3 linked regions of the Notamacropus eugenii genome follow. The protein of the gene in region 3 interacts with the protein of the main gene of each other region in a biochemical or structural test. Links are inferred from orthologs where the notes say so. Each region holds a gene or a part of one and is shown on either strand. Other genes may lie near its edges.

The links.
Region 1: the proteins of PBX1 (region 3) and HOXB1 are reported together in a solved structure, tested with the Homo sapiens proteins (2 studies listed by BioGRID and IntAct, with this or other methods). The link is inferred for Notamacropus eugenii from reciprocal best matches to the Homo sapiens genes PBX1 and HOXB1.
Region 2: the proteins of PBX1 (region 3) and PKNOX1 form a complex in vitro, tested with the Homo sapiens proteins (2 studies listed by BioGRID). The link is inferred for Notamacropus eugenii from reciprocal best matches to the Homo sapiens genes PBX1 and PKNOX1.

The regions. Positions count from the first base shown.
Region 1 is NC_092873.1:352,501,098-352,508,052, forward strand, and holds the start of HOXB1 (homeobox protein Hox-B1), read left to right. Parts: upstream 1-3,933; 5' UTR 3,934-4,366; coding exon 4,367-4,931; intron 4,932-5,676; coding exon 5,677-6,008; 3' UTR 6,009-6,955. UniProt on the Homo sapiens protein: Sequence-specific transcription factor which is part of a developmental regulatory system that provides cells with specific positional identities on the anterior-posterior axis. Acts on the anterior body structures.
Region 2 is NC_092876.1:415,902,381-415,910,308, forward strand, and holds the start of PKNOX1 (homeobox protein PKNOX1), read right to left. Parts: upstream 3,021-7,928; 5' UTR 2,919-3,020; intron 1-2,918. UniProt on the Homo sapiens protein: Activates transcription in the presence of PBX1A and HOXA1.
Region 3 is NC_092873.1:482,285,126-482,292,108, reverse strand, and holds the start of PBX1 (pre-B-cell leukemia transcription factor 1), read left to right. Parts: upstream 1-3,935; 5' UTR 3,936-4,027; exon of another isoform or gene 4,028-4,207; 5' UTR 4,208-4,304; coding exon 4,305-4,495; intron 4,496-6,983. UniProt on the Homo sapiens protein: Transcription factor which binds the DNA sequence 5'-TGATTGAT-3' as part of a heterodimer with HOX proteins such as HOXA1, HOXA5, HOXB7 and HOXB8. Binds to the DNA sequence 5'-TGATTGAC-3' in complex with a nuclear factor which is not a class I HOX protein.

The sequences.
Region 1 (6,955 bases), about 130 Mb from region 3:
GGTCTGTACAACAAAAGGAAATACAGCTCAATCCCTGGTGAATTTGGCACTATTTGAATTGTCATTCAGAGAGCTCAGACCAAAGGAGAGTTAGGCCAGAAATCATTGTGGCTGGGATTACTCTAGCCTGTGTCAATTATGTTTGATAGATGAGTAAAATCTCAAAGTTTCTTCTAGATAGTCTCACAGAACTCCAAATCTAGAAGTGACATTAGAAATATGTCTCATTTCACAGAGGGAGAAACCAAGGCCCAGAGACAGGGAATCACTTTTTCCAGGACACACAATTCCTAAGGTAAGAACCACCACTATAATTCGGTTTTCAGGAGATCCAACTCAGGCCTATCTCCACTGTTCCATGATACATAGGGATTGAAATAATAGACTTTCTATTCCTACTGCAACTATCTTGGTTCAGGTCCTCTATACTTATCACTTAGTCTTACACTGTTCCAATAGCCTTCTAACTGGTGTCCCTGCCTTTAGAGTCCTCAGTTATTAAAAAAAGATAATTGCTATTCTTTTTTTATATACTGTTACCCTGGAAAACATATTGGTTTTTCTCTACCCAAAACAAATCGACCTTTTTCAATTCATCTTTCATATTACTGTGTGGCTAATTTTTTAAAAATTAAACTGCTCTCTAGAGGGGTTTTTTCTACTTTCAGGTCCTCAAGCTGTCTCTAGTAGTGTCATGTGGTGGCCTGGGCTCACCTCACCAAAGAAGGCCCTCCCACCTTGGGAAAAAGTGGGAGAGACATTTGTGTTATATTAATTTAATTGACCCAAACTGGTATTTCTAGGTTTTTTCTCCTGAACCTCAAGGTCCTGTTTTCAAAACTCTGCTGGACATTTACTCAGATGTGACACAGGCAATCCCAGTTCAATATGTCTAAAAACAAACCATCTTTCCCCAAACCTGACCAATTTCTTAACTTCTTTATTGCCATGTACCCATACCTTCTACCTCTGCCCCCTACTTCCAATTCATACCTCACGTTGCCAGTGGATATGACATACCCTTCCTCAAAATCTTTCGTTGACTTTCAAGAGGAATTGACCATAAGGGAAAATATAAGCCTGGCATTCAAGACCAACACAATTTGGCTCCAACTTACTTTCCAGTCTTATCTCACACTGCTCCTTTTCGTGTACTGTCTTCTCATGCCAGACTGGAATACTTACCCTGTTCTCACCCTTTCTTTTTTTAGTTTTGTTTAAGGAGTCTTCCCCACTTAGAATAGACTCCCTTCTACCACACAGATGCAGCTTCTATTGAGATCTGACCCTTTCTTCAAATGTCTCTGTTCCCCTCCTCAGAGTTAGTGCCGACCCCTTGAAGAAGCCTTCTCCAATTCCTCCCCATGGAAGAGAGCTTTCCTGTAGTACTCTTTCTTTTATGCACTTGTGTATTATAGTTATTTGTGTCTCCCTCCACCCTCATTCCAATGGAATTACAAGCTCCTTGAGGGCAGACACCCATTTAGTGTTTTATTTTTTTATTCTTTGTGCTTAGTCCAATAACCTAAAGAAAAAGTTTGTTTAATTGGATTGAGGAAGGTGCTAGGGCTTCCCAGAAACTAGGCACAGCAAAGACAAAACTAAGTTAGGGCAGAAGGGAGATAATGTGGAGTGAGAAGAGACATCAGAACTGTCCCCCATCCATTCTAAGGAAAGTACTAAAATGGGAGAAATCTTTGGAGTATCATAAAAACAAATGAGCTGTTTTAGGGAGGAAAGTGCTGCTACTCCACTCCACCTTGCTCTTTCTATTTCTTCTTTTCCTCTCCCGATTCTTCTCTCTGCCCCATTCTCCCTTTGTTTTGTTCCTTCATTTCCCTCTCTCTCTTTTTCCACAGCAGTGACCACAGTCTTTTCCCCCTCCCCCATCAAATCTCTCTCTTTAGCAAAGTTCCAGCTGTGTCCTCCCTTCCCCCACAATCCTATGTCCTGGGGCTTAAAATTGTGTTTATGTTTCTTTGGGGAAAAGGGGATATATATGAGGGAAATAGAAAGCCCTTCTTAATTCTTTGATGGTCTGCTTTCTTCAAGGATATGGTAGTGAGTTTTATTATGATTAGGGAAGAATCCAACATGAATGAGAAATGGTCAGATTTGAAGAACTTTGAAGGGATTCCATTCATCCATTTACACACACACACACACACACACACACACACACACACATTTTAGAACCAAGACAAACTGATGATAACCCAAGGACAATTACTTTGGAATGCCTTCAAGGGATGAACTGGGTCCCCTTTCCTACAACAGAGTTGGCTCATCCGTATAGCAGAAAGTACTTCTTTTACTCAAATACTCCACCCTAAGTTTTCTGAGTCCTGTAAGGTAGGGGTAAGTAATGGGTTCTTAGTTGAATTTAAAAAGAAGTCATCAAAACAAAGAGAAACTGTTTTCACCCAGACAAAAAACCAGAGCACAGATTTCTTTGCAGAGATACAAATCTGTCTTCCACCTTTCTTTGTGGGGAATTTCACTTGGTATTGTATTTAGTCATGAGTTTATGACTTCTAAATACACCCAGGAAAATAGCATGGGTCTCTAAATGCTGAATTGAACTTAACGGTGACAAGGAGGCTGAAGAGGGACTGGGTACCTTCCAGAGACATCTCATTCTTACCTCCCTTCCTCTCCTGAGACAGACTTGGCACTTTTAGTGGTTACTGGGTTAATGTGCTTGTTTACTGAGTATCCCCCTGAACTCTTGGCCTCCCAAAGCTACCCGGGTCGTGGCTGCAGGCCCAGCAGACACCCTGACAAGTAACAAATGAATGTAGGCGGTGGATTGTTCTGAGCCTTGTCTGCCTTGTCTGGAGGAGGAGAACCAATGGAGTCTACCTGAGAGGGCTTATTCTTGTCCTAAGGAGGTAAGTGTAGAAGACTGCTGATTCTGCCCCAACTGCAATTCCAACAGAGATATCAGGAAATCAAGACAGTCGGTTCCCCCATCAGACGTGGGTAAGAGTTTCAGGGATTGTTAGGACACCAGCCCTCAAATCTAGTGATCCTTTTATCCCCATCTTTTTCTCTTTTTCTGCTCTGGAAAATGGGTAAATGATCTGTACAAATGTTCAGAAATTTCGCCACTATTGAGTTTGATAAGTGCACTTGTGGGTGGTTTGTTTGTTTTGGTTGGGGACTGAGGACATAGAAGGAATGATGTGTAGTCGACATCGGCTTCATTCACCAGACATTGACTCAACAGTACCAATTCACTTTGCCCCATGTACACACAACCTCAGTCTCCATTTCCAAAGAAAAGCTCTCCAGAGAGTGAGATGAGAAGGGTTATTTCAGTCTGAAAAGTCAGCAAGATCATTACAGCTATGGATGGCTAGCTAAAGTATAAATACATCTAGAAAGATGAATTGATGGAGAGGTAAAGAGAGACTATAAATATGGAGGGAGATGGACGAATAGAGAGATGGATTGAGACAGAGAGGATATAAAGACAGGCTGCAAGAAGAATAGATGGATGGATGACGAGGGAGAGAACGTCTATATGTAGAGAGGAAAAGTGAAATGACTCAGCAGCTCCTTTTTAATAGTCTTTATATCTATAGTGTTCTACCACTAAAAAAGTCCTGTTCCTCTGACTGATTTAATGAACTCTTCCTGATACAAGACGATGCCTCTCCCTTTCAATCTATCTTTACATTCCCCCAGTCCCCCGGGGTTCCCCCCTTTTGACCCTAGATAATCACACTCATTCACTCACCTACTCACCCACACACCCTCACACTGATCACCCAGTGACAAATTGGGAGAAGAACCGGGTGGAATAGTCCCAAACGATGCTGTATTCCCTACCTCTGTTCCTGTAGTCCCAGAACGGAGCCTCCTTTGGGGGCTGGGGGGAAGGGCTGGGGGGCAGCTGGGAACTGAGTTAGCCAAATCTAATAACTCAGGGCCTCTTTAAGACTTGGGGGGTGGGGTGAGGAGGGGGAGACTCTTGAATATTCTTGGAACTTTCCTCCCCCCCTTTTCCCTGGCTCCTTCTTTCCCAAAGTCTTTGAAGAAAGATGTTTTTGACGCTTTGGTGTCCCGCTCAGATGGATGGTTCCGGGCTTGATTGAAGTGTCTTTGTCATGCTAATGCCAAGGGGGTGATGGATGGGCGCCAGGGGCTGCCAAACTCTGGCCAGTGGCTGCCCATTGGCCTGAGAGGGATCACATGTGCCCTCCCCCATTCCCCTACCCCTTTCCCCTAGGGGAGCTCTGGGCTGGGAGAACCTGGGGACAGCCATGGACGGAAGTCTCAGAGCTTTGACATACTGCCTAAAGGTTGTAGGGCAAGAGGGTGTCTCCCCCAAATCGGGCTGACCCTCCTCCATCCTCAGCGCATGGACTATAATAGGATGAATTCCTTCTTGGAGTATGCACTCTGTAATCGAGGTCCTGGAGCCTACAGCTCCCCTACATCTTACCCTCCTTGTTCAAGTTCTCCCGGTGACAGCTATGGAGGGGAACCTCGTTATGGAAGTGGTCTCCCCAGCCCTGTCCTCCAGCAGAATCCAGGCTACCCCACACAGACTCCATCAGCACTGGGGGTCCCCTTCACCAACTCTTCACCCTCGGGATACACTGCACCCACCTGCAGCCCTGGCTATGGCCCCTCCCAATACTACTCCTTGGGCCAACATGATGGGGATGGGGGCTATTTTCAGCAGTCGGGGTATGGGAGCCAGCTGGGGAGCTTATCCGAGACTTATATTACAGGAGGGACTGGGGCAGGGCCCTACCCTCCGCCACAGCCCACTTATGGGACTGAGCAACCTTCGGCCTTCGGGCCATCCTATGGGGATCTTTTAGCGGAGGACAAGGAACCACCCTGCCCGTCGGAGCTGAGCATGCCCACCACCCAAACCTTTGACTGGATGAAGGTCAAACGAAACCCTCCAAAGACAGGTAAGCTAGGGCTTGGGGGACTGTAGTGGGCAGGCAAGGGAGAGCAACTTCCCAGCCAAATTTTGAGTTTCAATTGAAGAATGTTTGGTGTTCTGAGGCATTTACAGTTTTCCCTGACGTATAATTCTACTTTTCAGAGCAGCAGATAAGGGAAGTAGCCAGTAGACTTTCATGTCCTTCTTTCTCATCCCAGCCCAATTTAGTTTGGGTCTTAGTGGGGATAAAGTTAGAAGCTCCCAATGTGACCTCTTTGGGGCTTCTTCCCCATCCTCTATTATTTTCTACTTCAGTCTTCGTGGTAGGTTCTCCCCCCTCCACCCTGCCTTACTCCCTCTCCCTCCAACACTCTCTTATGTCTCAATTCTGGCCAAAGCAGAGAGGCCTAGATGGACTCTCTTGTTCCCCAGGAGCTAGGGGTGGCGTGGCGTGGATGAGATGATTTGCTGTATGTAGCAGGAAGACTAGGGACTGATCTGGGGAGAAGGCCATGGGGAATCTTGGGCTGGAAAATTGGAGATGAGAAAGATTCAAAATGGTGAACTGGAGGTGGAAGCCTGTCGCTGGAGGTGGGTGAAAGAACGGTGCAGAGAGAAAGAAGGCGAGAGGGAGAAGGAGAGAGGGAGGGAGAAGAGTATACAGAAGAGGAGAAGTGGTGGAAAGGAAAAACTTAGGGGTGATGGATGGGCAGATGGGATAACAACTATTCTGACTTTATTTTCCCGAACACCACCCACCTTTCCCATAGCAAAAGTTTCAGATATGGGCTTGGGCCCAGCGGGTGGCATTCGCACCAACTTCACAACGCGGCAGCTGACTGAGCTGGAGAAGGAATTCCATTTCAACAAGTACTTGAGCCGGGCCCGACGGGTGGAAATTGCCGCCACACTAGAGCTCAATGAGACGCAGGTCAAAATTTGGTTCCAGAACCGGCGGATGAAGCAGAAGAAACGAGAACGGGAGGGAGGACTGGCCCCTGCAGTGCCCCCGGGCTCCAACAAGGAAGCTGCAGGAGATGCTTCCTCCGACCAGTCCGCTTGCACCTCCCCAGAAGCTTCACCTAACTCGGTCAACTCCTGAACTAACCACAGAACCCAAGGGATTGTTCCTGGTTGGCGTCTGTCTCCCCTCATCCAGAGTCCTCAAAATATCCCCTAATGGGCTCTCTACTTCCTGCGGCCCCAGGGCATCTCCACCCCAGCCCTTGAATGCCGGTGTCCCCAAGATACTTTGTAGGAGGCCTCGACTGTTCTCTCTAGGGAACTATGTATGTATAGGGGCACAAGATAACAGGACGGGCGCTGACTGGGCTGGCATTCCTGGTCCCCTTCACTTCCACTGCCAGAAAGTTGGGGGCAATCAGGGATCTAGTGGCCTATCCCTAGCCTCACTGCCCTTTTCTCTCAGTTTCTCCCCTTGCTTGTTTCTTCAGATCAGTGCCTTTGAGCTGCGAGGACTCAGTCTCTCTTCTTTCCTTTCTTCTCTCTTTGCTTGGCTTGCCACTCACAAGACAGATGAATATTTGTGGATCCTGGGGTCGATTTTGGGGTGTGGATTAGTAGTATTCTTGTGAGTATCTCTAAAGTGGACACTATTAACGCTAGTTGCCTTGTGACAGACCAAAAAAAAAAAAAAAATCTTTCAGACCTGATCTATAACTCTTTCCCAGTTCAAGTCCTTGTCTCCCTCCCTCACACCCTCATTTTGCACTAATGCTGTGGACACAGGCTCCCTCCTCTCCCTAACCCCAAACCCCAGCCCCCTCTTGCCCTAATCCCCAGCTTACATATTTTCTTACTTGAAACTGAAAAGAAATGTGTAACGCAAGGTCTGGATCTGGTCCCTCAATTCCCACCTAGAGAAGTGTCATGCTGCCTCTCAAAGCAAGTAGACGCCTGCAGCGCTCCTTCCTTATTTATTGAGTACTCTAACCCCAGGACATTCTTTCTCAGACTTTTGGAAAATGAGGGGAAACAGGGGATATTGTGACATTACTTAAATAAGACTTAAAGAGACACCCTCAAACC
Region 2 (7,928 bases), on a different chromosome or scaffold from region 3:
GACTAAGGGCTACATAATCTAGATCTGGGTCTCCTCTTTATAAAAATAATTGAATATATGGGAGCTAATGAGGTCACCAACAGAAAAAATATAAAGAGTCCTAGCATACAGTTTTGGGGGAAACCTATGAAATGCTATGGAGGACAAACATATGAAATTAGAAAACAATAGTGGGGAGGAGAGAGAGGGAGAGTAAAAGAAAGACACAGAGACAGAGAACACACCATCTCAAAAACCTAGAGAGGAGATAGTATCCAAGAGGAGATAATAGTCAACAGTGTCAAACTCTGTAAAGAAGTTGGAGAAGGATAAGAACCAACATAGTGTCATCATATTTTGCAAATTTAGAAGTCACTAGCTGATGCAAAGTACAGCTGCTGCTTCTCAAAAAAGGATGGAAAGAACCAGGAAAACAACATAAACAAAGACAATAGAAACGGAAAGAACAATCGACCAAGCCTGGCTATCAAATAACACCTATGTAAAGACACCTTTCCTATTTTTTTTTTTTTTACATTTTAGCAAAGGAGGGGACCATGAGTGTGGAATACTGCTTATATCCAATCTTTTTGATATGATACCTAGTTTTACAAATTTTTTTCCTTTCTTCTCTTTCATTAAAGTCACAACTCACTAATATTAAGTTGCTGAAAAGATGAGAACCTGCAGTGGTAGAGAGAATCGTAAGTGCAGTCCCCATCCTTACTCTGTAAGGGAGGCCACTGAGAGGGAAAGGATACAGTAAACAAATTTTAAAACAAAAGACATCAATAAAATTATTCACAAAATTAAAAGATTGTGACTTTTAAGTTTCTGTTGAATGGACAAGTTAGGGAACGAGATACTAACAAACTGAGACGTGAGAAGACTTCAAGTGAAGGCAGCGCGTAAGTGAGTTCGGATTTTTCAAGAAGTTAAAAAGGATTAACAGTTTGCAGGGTTGATATAGTCCAGAGAGGAGTTAAAGATAAGAGTTGAAGCTAGCAGGTTTGTAATGAGTAGAAAAGAGATCAATAGGTAAGGTGAGTACTAGAGAGCTAAAGGATGACAATGGGACCAGATTCAGCTGAAGAAGAAAAGGATGCTGATTCTGAGGGCAAATGTGGAGGGTCTGGCCTTGGAAAGGTTGGAAAAGACAAATGTCCAAAGAGTGCTAAACTTGGCGTCAGGAAGACTCAAGGTTTAAAAAATCCTATCTGCCATATTTATTAGCACTAAGGGGCAACTCAAGTCACTTATACCTCTCTGAGTTCAGTTTTCTGACCTGTAAAAAGGGGATACAAATACCCGTAAGTGCCTAGTTCAGAGTTGTTATAAGGTCTAAGAACCAAACAAAGTACTTCACAAACTTTACAAAATGTATGCGAATGTCAGCTATTATTATTGAATGGCAGGTTCTGAAATGTTTAACTGAGTCAGCCTTATAAGGATGACGAAAATTGCCAAATTCTATTTGGAATCATAACTAAAGATCTATTAACCTTCCTCTCAGGCCTTCTATGCTTCCATTGACTAGTGAGTGACATTCCCTGGATTCCAAGATCTAAGCCTTAAAGGGGGGTCTATTGTACATTTTAACTTGTGTAAGACACGAGGTACAGATCTTTAAAAAATTATTCTTTGTTTTTAATGATCTGACTCGGTTAAAAAAACAGTATTTGGGAAATAGGGAGAAAATATCATGAAGCAAGTGTTCATGTTTATGGTCGATTCTTCAAGGGCTTGGTATATTTTCATTATTGTAGTGATTAACGGCATTCTGGTCTCCAGCTTCCCATCCAGTTCCAAGTTTTAGAGATGGGAAGAAACTGCACATCCCACGACAGCGCACGTGGAAGTCAGTGGCTTAAGCTCAATGGGGGGGAAGGCCACAGAAAAGCCAAACGAAATTGAACTCTGTCCCACGGCCAGGATCGGAAAGCCTGCTGCTTGCCAGATACGACTCTCGCTTGCAACCACTACCACAGCTGAAGGGGGGTGGGGTGGGGAAGTCCACCCCAAACAGGCGCACCCAGCCAGGGAGGTGCTTCCCACCCCCTACTCCTTCTTCCAGGGATTTCCCTGCCCCCATCCTGAGAGCAGGAGGAGCCGCCATCTTCAACTCTTCCTTCCACCATTATACAACCTCTCTTCTCCCCGCTGCCCTCGCCGTCCTCCAGCCTCCTTCTCCCCCGCGCCCCCAAAACCCCAAAGCCGAAAAAGCTGCACCAGTCTGGGTCGGTGGAAGTAGCGGGGATGGAGCAAAGCGCCCCACCGGTCCCTTTAAACGGCTCTGCTCCCCAACACCTTCAAGAAGACTCTCCCCCCCACCCCGGGCCCGGGCACCCCTCAGCTGAGCCGCCGAAGGCCGCGCGACTGCAGGCGGCGACCAGCGGCCGCCCGCTTCCACCCCGGCTGCCTCGTCCCCTCCTCCGCCCTCCCCGGCTCCCCCCCGCCGAGCTCCACACCCCGCGGCGCGGCCCAGCGCGCCTCCCCATGCCCCCTCCCCTGCCGGCCGCCTCCCCCTTGTCCCCGCCCCGTGCAGGAGCGCGCGCAGTGCTCCACCAGGGACGGTTTAGGAGCGCGCGCCTCGCAGCGGGGCCCAGCGCGGCGGCTCCTTCCAGAAATTTCCTCCTTCCTAGTCTCACGTATGGACACCAACACCGTGGAAACCCTTTCCAGACTGCAGGGTGGGCCGCCTCCCTCGGCCTCCTCTTCCCCCCGCCTTTCCGGTCCCTCCTGCATTCAAACGCGGCCCCCTCCCCTGCCCCGTCCCTGCTCCATGCCCTTGGGCGCGGCTTAGTGGCATCTCTTCTCCCCACGAACGGCCTGGGCGGCAGCAGTGGGGCGGCGGCGGGGAGGCCGGTGTGATTGATAGGGACGGCGGAGAGCGGCGGCGGCGGCGGCGGCGGCGGCGGAGCGGTTGAGTGACAGCTTACCTGGGTGCCAATCTTCATCACACTGACAAGCGGCTGCAGCAATCGGGACCCGCAGTGCCGCACCCGCGTCCAACCGTCACGCCGACGCCGGGCCACGCGACACAGCCTCATTCAATGGAAGGAGGGCTACGCCGACGCTCACCTTATCAATATTCAAAGCAGAGGCGGGGCCCTCGCAGGGGAAGCTCCTCCCACCCCGTGAGTCTGCGCTCAGGGGGTGGGGACTCTGGGAGAAGGGGCGGGCTGGGAGGGAGTTCGGAACGCAGCCTTTCCTCTCTGGGCCCTCCTGCCCCTCCCCCCTCCGCCTCCATGCTTAAGAGGAACAGGCCACACCCCTAGCTTTTTTTTGCTGCGCAGGGAGGGAGGAGCCTTTGGCCACGCCCACTCTCCCTCTGGCCAAAGTTCGGGAGGTTTTGAAAATGTGTTTGTTGGTTAGGTACTGGAAGTCCTCCCCCAGCCCTTTTTTATCCGACCACCACTGTGCCCTTCCTTCTCTAATCGTAATCTCTTGACTCGCGTGCATTTGTGCAAAACTGTAGAGGGAAGATGATCCTTGGGTGGATGAAGGCTTCCTCCAGGTTGGAGGAGGGGACTAGGGAGGAGGGACTGCTACCAAGACCCTGCTTCCCCCCCACCCAACGCAGAATTTCACCGTCTAGAAAGAATTGATTAGTTTTCTTCTATCCCATTACCAGCCCAAGGTGTAATGCATACTAACCTAGTAACGTTTTACAAATTATTGCAGATTCCTTAAAAATTAAAGGCTCGAATTGACAGCAGAGTGATCGCTCGGGGGATTTTGCACAACACCACAAAAATCGAAAGGAACTTTGCAAACCTTCCTTTTCCGACTTTGGGCTACATTTCTTTTTCAGAGATTGAGAATTGAAAGGGACCTCGATGACCCTCTTGTCCGGTCTGTACCTGAGAAAAGAATCTCATTTATAGGACCCATGGTTCAGTCATTGCTTAAAGACCTCCCTTTGAGGAAGAGCAGCACCCCATGGGAATGCAACCTGTTCCACTTTTGAATGACACTAAATTGTTAGGAAAGGTTTCCTTACCGAAGCCTCAATTTTCCTCTTTACAATTTCTGCCCAGTATTCCTATATCTATCTAGTGGAATCAAGAAAAATAAATCTATTACGTTTTACAGGCTCAAATACTTGAAAACAGCTATCAAGCCACTTTAAGTCTTCTCATTATGCTAAGCCTTTCTCAGTTCTTTCAGTAAATTCTCATATGTTTTTAACTCAAGGTCATTCACCATCCAGCTCATAAATGTGTTAGCTAAATGGTGGGACCTAGAAACACTCTGTGTGTGGTTTGAGCAAAGTAAAGTATAATTGGACTATCTTCATCTTTAGATTTTTTTTTTTTTTGCTTCCATGTCACACTGTAAATTCATTTTGGATTTATAATGAAAGAAACTAGCAAATATTAAGCATAGATGTTTTACTGTTCTCACAATACCCCTAGAAGGTAAGTGCTAATATTATTACCATTTTACATTTGAGGAAACTAAGGCTAACAGAGATTAAGTGACTTGCTCCGAGTCACACAGCTAGTGTGTGTCTAAGAATTTAAACTCAGATCTTCCTGATTTCAGGACAAGCACTCAATCCACTGTGCCATCTAGCTGTCTAATGCATGGAAACTCTTAATCTCTATGCTTGTAATTGTGAAGTTGGTTTTCTTGAAAGAAAAGGTAATATTTTATGTTAACTCAGTTGCTCAAATGGATGTATGATCTCATTAATTTGGAAATTCTCTTCAGGGGTGCAGATTACACAAATGCTTGCCCATCCTGTTCAGTACTTATCTATGTCCTTCCATAAATTCACCAAAAGGGGGAAGCTATCTTTACTTTGGCTTGATGGTACTACAAAGATTACCTGCGGAGCCCTCTTATTCCACCAAGAATGGCTTGATCTCACTTTGTGACTATCTTTCCCTAGCACACATTTCTTTGATGACAATTTTTATTATTGCTCTTTGAAGTTCTTCATTTGTTGCTATGTGTTTACATCTACCATGTGTCTCTTCATTGCCTTTTGTGATATTTATTTTCAACTGTAATATAAAGTGCTTTGCAAGCCTTAAAAAGCTATATAAATAAAATGTTATTATTCAGGAACTGTTTATCCAATATCTCATTTCCATGCAGCGACACTAATAGAATGTTAGTATTAAAAAGAAGAAACTTTATTTTTAGGAGAAGTTTGGACCATTAAAGGTGCTTTGCAATTTTTCAAAGACTATACAGACTGCTCTCCTCTTCCTGTTCAATTCTTAGCCTATGTAATTAATTGTCCATGAAAACAATGTTTCAGATATATATGATGATAGACAAACTTTGTAGTTTGTTCATAAAAACGTCATAACTTAGGCAATAGACATTCTTTATCCATTTGGATCTTTTCTTTGTGGATTTTCAGACTGAGAGGTTATTTATCTCTATTAGCAACCTCTTCGGTATTTCTAAACTACCAGTAAACAACAAACCTGAAGGACATCACCATTTATGGGTAACAGATCTTCAACTTGAACTCTATACTGGATCTACTCCAACACAATGACCACTGCTTTTGTTGGACATATATTTTCTTTATATATTGATATTATTTTTTTAAAAAATTTTCACTCGATGAAAATTCATCTCTCTCCCTTCCACCTCCCCACCTCATGAAAAAAGAAAGAAAAACCCTTATAATAAATATTCATACTCGAGCAAAACAAATTCATGCATTGGTCATGTTCAAAAGATTTATCTTACTTTACACTCTGGGTACGTCACCTCTGCGTCAGGAGGTAGATAGCACATTTCACTGTTGAGTCCTCTGGAATAGTGGTTGGGCATTGCATTGAGTACAGTTCTTAGATCTTGCAATGCTTATCTTTACAATGTTGTTATTGCATAAATTATTCTCCTGATTCTCCTCAGTTCGCACAAATCTTCCCAAGTTTTTCTGAAAACTTCCTTTTTAACATTTCTTAAAACACAGTAGTATTCCATTACATTCACATATTATAATTTGATCAGCCATTCTCCAATTAATGGATGCCCCCTTAGTTTCTGGTTCTGTGCCATTACAAAAAGAGCTGCTATTTTTGTGCATATAGGTCATTTTCCACTTTCTTTGAACTCTTTGGGGCATAGGCCAACTTGTGTTATAGAAGGGTCATACAACAGGCTGGTAACTTTCTGGGCAAATTGCCTTCTGGAATAGCTGCACAAGTGTTGTTATCATTATTTTCGTTGTTGATTATTCTTCATTAAGAGGACTAATTCAAGATATGCCCCAGGAAATATATTAATGCAATTAATTATCATATGAAGCAAATCCTGCTAAAACATTTTTACATTCATTAGTTTTGCATTGAAGGTGATTTTTGATACTTTTACAGTTTGAACTGAGGAAAAGTAAGATGAATTAAATTTTGTGACATTTGCATAGTTTTTTTTCTAGAAAACATTAAACAAGTGCATAAAGATTGACAAAAATCAAATAATCTGATCCTTTTATTTGTACAAGTATATCTATTTTCCAACAACCCCTCTAATATTCACCATTTTCCTCTTTTATCATTTTTGCCAGTCTGATAGGTGAATCAAAACATCAAAGTTGCTTCAGTTTGCATTTTTCTATTAATGATTTTTTATATTTTTTATATTTTATTGATAGGATGGATTTGTTCCTTTGAAAATGGCCAGGTCATACTTTGACCTTTTATCTATTGGGAAATGGCTCTTAGTCTTATAAATTTGAATCAGTTCTTTATGTATCTCGTATATAAGACTTTTATTTGTTAAAGATTTTTTTCCTAATTGCTTGCTTCCCTTCTAGATTTGTTAAAAAATAAACTTTTAAATGTTATATACTCAAAATTATCCATTGTATCTTCTGTGACAACTTATTTAGTCACAAACTTTCCCCCTGCACATGAATCTAAAAAGTAATTTCTTCCTTGTTCCTCTGATTTGTTTATATTGTAACTTTTTATCTAGGTCATGTATCCATTTGGATCCCAACTTGTTATATAGTATAAGTGGTTGGTCTAAACCTAATAAGTGCCAGAATGCTATCCCATTTTCCCAGTAGTTTTTATCAAATAGTGAGTCTTTCCCCTAGTAACTAGAGACTTTGTATTTACCAAACACTGGAGTCAGGAATAACTGAGTTCAAATCCAGGCTCAGATACTTACCAGCTATTTGACTTTGGACAAGTCAATTAACCTCTACTTACCCCAGCTTCCCCATCTGTAAAATGAAGATTATAATAACATCTATCACCTATGGTTGTGAGGATCATATGAGATAATAATTACACAGCACTTAGCACAGTGCCTGGCACATAGTTGCTCCTCCTTCATTTTCAAAGAGGACCAAAAACATAATGGCCATGTCTTGACTTGTGCATGAATTGGACTTAAGTGTGGAAGAGTTCAGCTTTATTCTCTTTTCCTGAGTCATTGAAGTCCAATGGCAAGGCAAAGGTCAGGAAGACTAACGATGGCCCAGGATGCAGTGAATGACTTTGGTGTTTGTGATATCTGACCAAGTTCTGTGTTCCCCACAGTGCCTACTTTAGCTGCCTTCATGGTTGCTGGAACAAATTGTTCCCTTCTACCCATTCTTCCAGGAAGAAGTCTTCATATGCTTGGAGCAGACATCCCTCTAACTCACCGCCAGGTCTGACATTTGTTGGTTACCCTCAACCTGCTTTAGCTCATTTGCCAAAATGGTTTTATTCGGTGTAACTGGTTAGCAAGCTACAGGTTCTTAGAGCCACAAGTAAGAGTTGGGTGAAAAAGGTGGACACCAAAGGTAGAGGAGCAGCTCTGAATAGGGCTCAGTAATCTCTCACCCCAATGGTGCTAGTTCTCCCCTGGACACATAGTAGGTGCTATTTAAAAGTCAGCTATAATAATTATTATTTTGCCCAAGTTGTATTTTTTATGATGTTCTGGAGTCATTCTTTTGTCTCTGTTTTGCGTCTTAAATTTCC
Region 3 (6,983 bases):
CCTGAACTTCAGAGAATACAGAGAAACAAAAATCAACAGACAAGATTTCCAACTGTCTGATCATAAGCAATATGTACATCACGGATCAACAGACAGCTCAAACTGTCTGACCATAAATACATAGTTACTAGAGAGAAAAGCACCAACATCTGGATTTTCAAAGCCAGGTGGCTTCTTAGCAGCTACCCAGAGTCTCATCTGGCCAAACAAACACTTTCATTGAGTAAGTCCCAAAACAAAACCTCACCTCAGACTATTTATATACCTTTCAGAGCTGGAGGGCAGGACCCTCTGACCCAGTGCCTCAATAGAAATTAACAAAAGGTATAGAGGCCTATTAATGGCTGAGAAAGATCTTTAACTCTTTTTCCTACCCATCATTAACCTTCAATCACCAGTTCAATGAGGAAACCAAAGATCAGAGAACTTGGTTGACTTCCCCTTCATGGGAATTCCTGCAATTCCCACATGGTAGAGTTCAGATTCAAGTCTGGGTCCTTTAATTCTAAATATCTCACAGTCTTCACTGCACCATGTTGGAAGGGACCATATTTTTAGACCTACCAAAATCTAATGGATTTAGAGATGGAAGGGACCATGGAGGAAATTGTGTCCAAATCCTTTATTTTATAGATGAAGGAACTGACAATCAGAAATATGAAGTAACATGTTCAAGGTCACACAACTAGTAAACATCTGAGTTAGAATTTGAACCTAGGTCTTTCTGAAAATGAATATTCCCAATAGAAATTCACCAGTCAGGTATTCAAAGACCTTCATTATCTGGTTCAAATGTTTCTTTCCAGGTTTATGATCAACTACTCTCCATCACAAGTTCTGTGCTTTACTCACTGGTGCATTCTTTCTAGTCTCTTGGACTTTTTGTGGCTCATTCTCCCTGCCTGGAATGTTGTTTCTTCCTACCCCCAATTCACCCATCTTACAAGATCCCACCTCTCCAATGACTGTTTCATTGACCTTCCAACTGGAAGCAGTCATCTCTTTGTATTGTCACCTATACTTCCCCAGAGATTCCTATATTTTGAACTATCCCTATGGCACATTGTACACAAAGCTTGGTAATTGCATGCATGGTTCATAGTTTATGTCTTACCTTGAATTATAAACTCTTCAAATGAAGGTGCTATGTATCCTCCACATCACTAAGCACAGTTCTTTGCAGGATGATGATGATGATGATGATGATGATGATGATGATGATGATGATGATGATGATGCAGCAGATAGGTGGTACTGTGGATAGTGTGCCAGAGCTGGAACCAGGAAGACTCATCTTCCTGAGTCCAAATCTTGCCTCTGACACTTACTAGTTGTGTGATCCTGGGCAAGTCACTTAACTTTCTTTGTCTCAGTTTCCTCATCTGTGAAATGAGCTGGAGAATGAAATGGCAAACCATTCCAGTATCTTTGTCAAGAAAACCCCAAATGGGGTTATAAAGAGTCAGAAAGAATTGAACAAAATTATTTTTATTTAAAAATAAATTAAGTAATAATGGCACAATTATTTTGCTGAATAGAGGGAATCAAGTGGTATAGTAGAAAAAAAGTAGTTTGGGAGACAAATGATCTCTATTCGAGTTACAGTTATTTTACTTGAATATGAGAAGAATCTATGATGTTATCCATGTAGGGGAACTCAGGTACCATGTAGCTGGCAAAGTGGATACAATCCTGGGTCTGGAGGAAGAAGGACCTGAGTTCAAATCCAACTCTAAGATACTTAGTAGCTCTGTGTCCCTGGGCAAGTCACTTGACCTTTGTCTGCCTCAGTTTCCTCATCCTTACAATGGGGATAATAATAGCACCTGCTTCTCAGGGTTGCTGTGAGGATTAAAGAATATAATGGAGCTATTATGGCATGATTACATTATAGTGAGGCTTAAGTGCCATTATAACTTGAAGTTCTTAGTCTTAACCTTATTTTCTTTAGATTCAGGCTAATTTATTTGGGCTGGACTTTGGGTCTGTTTTAAATTGCATGACTGCATATTATCACTATGATAACTATATTATATGAAAGTATATTATTATGGTTTAGCTTTTCACTAGGATTTGATTCTTAAAAGAACTTATAAATCAGTATATACATGTTAATAAAATAGTCATTAATAATATGACTTTGTAATTACAAATCATATTCATGCCCTTATGCCATTGTCCTGTCCTGTCAAGCAGCCTGTTAAAAGCTGCTCAGGAATGCCTTAATAATTACCCACTTCACTTATCTTGCCAAACTTGTTTTGTGCTAATGAGTGGGAAGGAGACTGGGTAATGGGTTGATGCTAAGAATAACATTTTTCATCTGATGATCTCAAAGCACCTAGCAAGTGCTACTTGGCAGCAATTCTTATCTTTTGCTGATAAGGAAACTAAGACTTTGGGTGGCTAAATTACTTTCCTGTTATTCTCCCTGACATTTAGGGAAAGAGCCACTCAATCTGCCCTCCTCTTTCCAGTCCATAGTTACGTTTTTCAGGACTACATTTAAAAATACTTAAGACTAGACTCTCAGTACTTATTTCTTTGTTTCTTACTAATAGTTATTAAGCATTTGGTGGAATGAATAAAGTCCCGTAGTTGGGAGTGAAAGGATTTTGATTCAATTCTTGGCTTCAGTATTTACCAGCTGGGTCACATGGGGAAAATTATTTTATCATTTTTTCCCCTGCCATAAATGAATATACTGTTTGCATTATTCCGCTCAGAGATTTTTTGAGGAAAGTACTTTGTAAACCTACAATACAAAGTGCCACTTAAATGTGTGCCATGAGAGTCTAACTCTAAGAAGTAATTTTCCAGTAGTGGGGAGGAGGGAAGTATGGATGGGGTAAAAAAGTTGAATTTTTCTTGACACAGTTCTCCTTGTTAAAATTTGTGCTGCTTCAGCATTATTTAGTTTTATTGTGCTTAATTTACTTCTGATGCAACCAGCCTATTGTTTGTTATTGTGAATCAATCCTCAGTGAATTTGATTTTGTCCATCTGGCTATTTAGAATGGCTATTCGTTCTTTTTGCTTCGTTCAGTGTTGTCACACTAGCGTCCTAAGGAATCCCTCCGGATTCCGAGGATGTAGCAGAAGCGAGTTTTAAAGCAGTATGGCTGAGAGGTGATGGGGGAGTGGGGGACCATTCCCTAAGAGAGTCCAGAATCTTTTCACTCTGCTTTGATCGGCTTGCAGTTAAGTAAAAGTCACGCACGTCCTTTCCACGGGTAACCTGAACCTGGTAAAACCTGCGTCTTCTAGAAGGAGGATAAGTGGAAACTGCCTAATTGAATTGGAGCTATCAGACGAGTGGCACCTTTAAGGACCGGAGATTTGGTTGTAAGCTCGGCCTCCTTTACAGCCCACCTCTGAACTCTGATTGACAGAGTGCTGGGTGAGGAGGAGGAGAAGGAGGCCGAGAAGGAGGTGATGTGAGGAAAGTAGGGAGGAGGAGGGGCTCGTCTTTTCTCAGATGGCCAATCAGGGCCGGGGGGCGGGGAACCAGTCTCCCTCCTCCCCTCCTTCTCTCCTCCTCTAGCCTCCCAGCTTCCCCGCCTCCCCCCCCCCCCTCCCCGCTTTCCCTCCACCCCCCCACTCCTCCTTCTCCTCCTCCTCCTCCTCTCCGGCTGTGGTTTTCTGTGTCAGTTTCAGGAGTCCTGAGCCTGAGCTAAACAAAAGCTGGAGGCAGAAGGGGCTGTTGGAGTTTGCAGAGACACGGAGAGGAAGGGAGGCTCTCTCTGCTTTGCCTGCTGCCGCTGCTGGGGGAGATCTGGCTTTTGCAACAGCCCACCCCCTTTGAGATCACTCTGGCTGGGGGTGGGGGTGGGGGGTGGCGGGGGGTGGGGGGGAAAGTTTGCATTGCAATCCCCCAGCCTTCCTCTTTTTTCTCCAGATCAATGCATATTTGCAAAAGGATTAAGCCACAGATTTAAGCTCCGAGAGCCCATTTCTGCTTTGCAAAGGAGCCGGGACTAAAAACAACCCAAAATTCAGCTCTGATTTCTTTTTACCAAGTGGGAAGGTGGTTTATTTTTCTTGCTTTTTGGAGTCAACACCCTTCCTCATCAGCCCTCATCCCCACCCTCACCCTGCAACCCTTTCACGCCCCCCCCTTTCCTCTCCCCACTCCCCATCCTCCCACCATCCTCTAAAAGAGGCAAAGGGATTTTTTTTTGGTCTCCCCCCCTTTTATTCTGAAAAGGATTTGGAGACAGCTTGAACGATAAAAAGCCTTGGTAGTTCCAAGGAGCCGAGCAGAGGAGAAGAGGAGGAAACAGGGGCTGCTGTTGCCTTTGGAGATGGATGATCAGCCCAGGTTGATGCATTCCCATGCTGGGGTGGGGATGGCAGGACACCCCGGCCTGTCCCAACACTTGCAGGATGGGGCTGGAGGGACCGAGGGGGAGGGAGGGAGAAAGCAGGACATTGGAGACATTTTACAGCAAATTATGACCATCACAGACCAGAGTTTGGACGAGGCGCAGGCCAGGTGAGATTGAGGCTTTTCTTTTCCATTTCTTGGGTGGTTTTATTTGTTTGTTTATTTTTTTTTCTTCGGGGAGGGGGCGTGGGGAACAATGGGATTTGAATCACTACAGCGCATTCTTTTTCGGGTTATTTCTTTTCTCGTTTTGTGGAGCAACTACATGGCGGAGGAGTAAGATTTGCAGGAGCGTTGTTATTGGAAGTGTAATCGCCCATGCCGTGATGTGTCTGTATACATATTATATGTGTGTATGTATATGAACACATAAACCGAGGCACGCAGATAATGTTGCCAGCTGATCACACCACGGCCCTCAGCACTTTTTACTGCCGTAAAAAAAAAGTCACACACAGAAGGCAGAATTGTCAAGTTTGGAACAGCATTCCCCATCTTCCTGTGGGGTCCCCCCCACATTACAGGACAACATGTCCCAAGAACACTTTTATTTGCTGAATTATAAGTTGTCTAATTCAGATCTTTTCGATTTTCTTTAATGACTCAAGGGAGGAAAAAAAAATTCTAATTTCCATGTTCTCTTTTCCTTCCCTTCCCCCCACGACCTCCCTTCTGTGTGTGGAACAGGGTATTTCTTTGTCAGTAGTTGTCAGCTATCCAGAGAATATTTTGCATATACTTAATGCTCTCTCTTTAGGGGGAAAAATGGGCCGTGGAAAGGAGAAAAATGGAATTTTGCTCGTAGATCTGTTGATCAGCTTTCTAAGACTCAAGAAAAAAATCACTTGGGTTTTGAATTCTAATTTGGGTCAGTTTCCTAAACTACACTGACATAAATCAGTTATGTATGTTCCTCAAAAAAAAAAAAAAATAGGCACAGAAATAAAGATTGCTTTTGCCTTTTCCTCCTTCAGGAGCACCTGAAGGTAGGATGCTAGAAATCATAACTGAGACCGTGGTTGGTTTATCTCTATGTCGACTCCACGAAGCTTGAGGATGTTCCTTGAGGAAATATAATGAACAAAAGTGCAGTTTTTCAACTTAAACCAGTGCCAAGGAATGAATATTTCTTACTTTGGCATTTTAGGAAAGTGGATTTCAAAATAAAAATACAGAATGCCCAATAACTCAGACCAAAAGCTTTCCCTTCCCAAACTCTTGGGGGTGAAAAACATAATATAAAGAAGTCTAATTTCCACTTAAGTCTATGGGGTTGTCCAGCCTTGAAAAGCAGAATCAATCACAGAAGTATTATTAATTTTTTTAAACTTTGGAAACCTTTGAAGAATTTTTCTTTAAAAATAAATAAAGAAGAAGAGCGAACCTCAAATGACTTGGTTATTTTGAGACTTTATTACATGATGTTTTGAGAAAGTGAGAATTTTGAAATGATAGCTGGAGAAAAATCAGCAAAAAGCATGGATTGAATGAATTACTGTATTATTTTAGGTGGAAGCACATGCAACACGTAACTCAGAAGTGGGGGGATGAAGAGGCTGTTGAAAAGTTGGGAAGGTTTAAGGACCCTTTTCCAAATATAAAAGAAGTGATGGGTGGGGGGGTTGTAGTTCTCTAGAATTCATTGATGCCTTTTATAATTTTATGATCTGAAGAAAAGATTATAGGGGTGGCAAGAGTTCTCACTAGCATTTATACTCTGAGCTGGGACAAATTGTTTCATTACATTGTTTCAGAAAAACACACATACCAATAAACTACTTTATTAAGTTTGAGGTGGGGAAGAAAGGAGATGAGTGGATACTATATACATCATGTATGTGTGTGTGTGTGTGTGTGTGTGTGTGTGTGTGTGTATGAATGTAAGTAACTAGGGGAAAACTAGTGAAAAACTCATCTTGGAGTTCACCACTTTGAATAAACTTAAATAGTGCAAGAGAGATTAGACCTGCTGTTGGGATGGAATATAAAGATCCCTCTCCCCATCTCCCTCCCCCACCCCAATCAAATAGGCACGGTATGTAAATGCCAACTCTTTAAAACTGCATTTATTTTTTTTTGTATTCAGATACATGTAGAATTAAAAAAAAATTGATAGAAACAAATGAAAAGGCATTGATACCTACAGAAAAATACACTCACTTTTTCCCTTCCCTTCACCCCCTACCAAGAAAAGGTTGTTGAAATTGTCACCTTACCACTTCCTCCTTGGTTGCTAAGCATAAGGAGTGTCTTTAGTAAATAGTATAAATTGTGTCCACTTTTCCTTTTTCTCTTTCATTCTTTGAGCAAGGGCATTTATTATTTATGAAATAGGTCGAATAGGTAGTATATGTTTTAGGTACAAAGGCATATGCTCATTTGGATACTTTCACGGTCTGACTGTAGGACTTCTTTACAGTGAATATACAACGTGCTTCTGGGGTTCTTTCCCCTAGAAGGAAAGAGTTGATTTAATTGCATATCTATTTTTTAACTTTCAAAGGGATTAAAAAAAATAGCATGTGTTTTGAGTGCCAGAGGCTTACATTAATCTTTACGTGTTAATTTTGGTTGGTAAACATAAGTCTCTTAATTC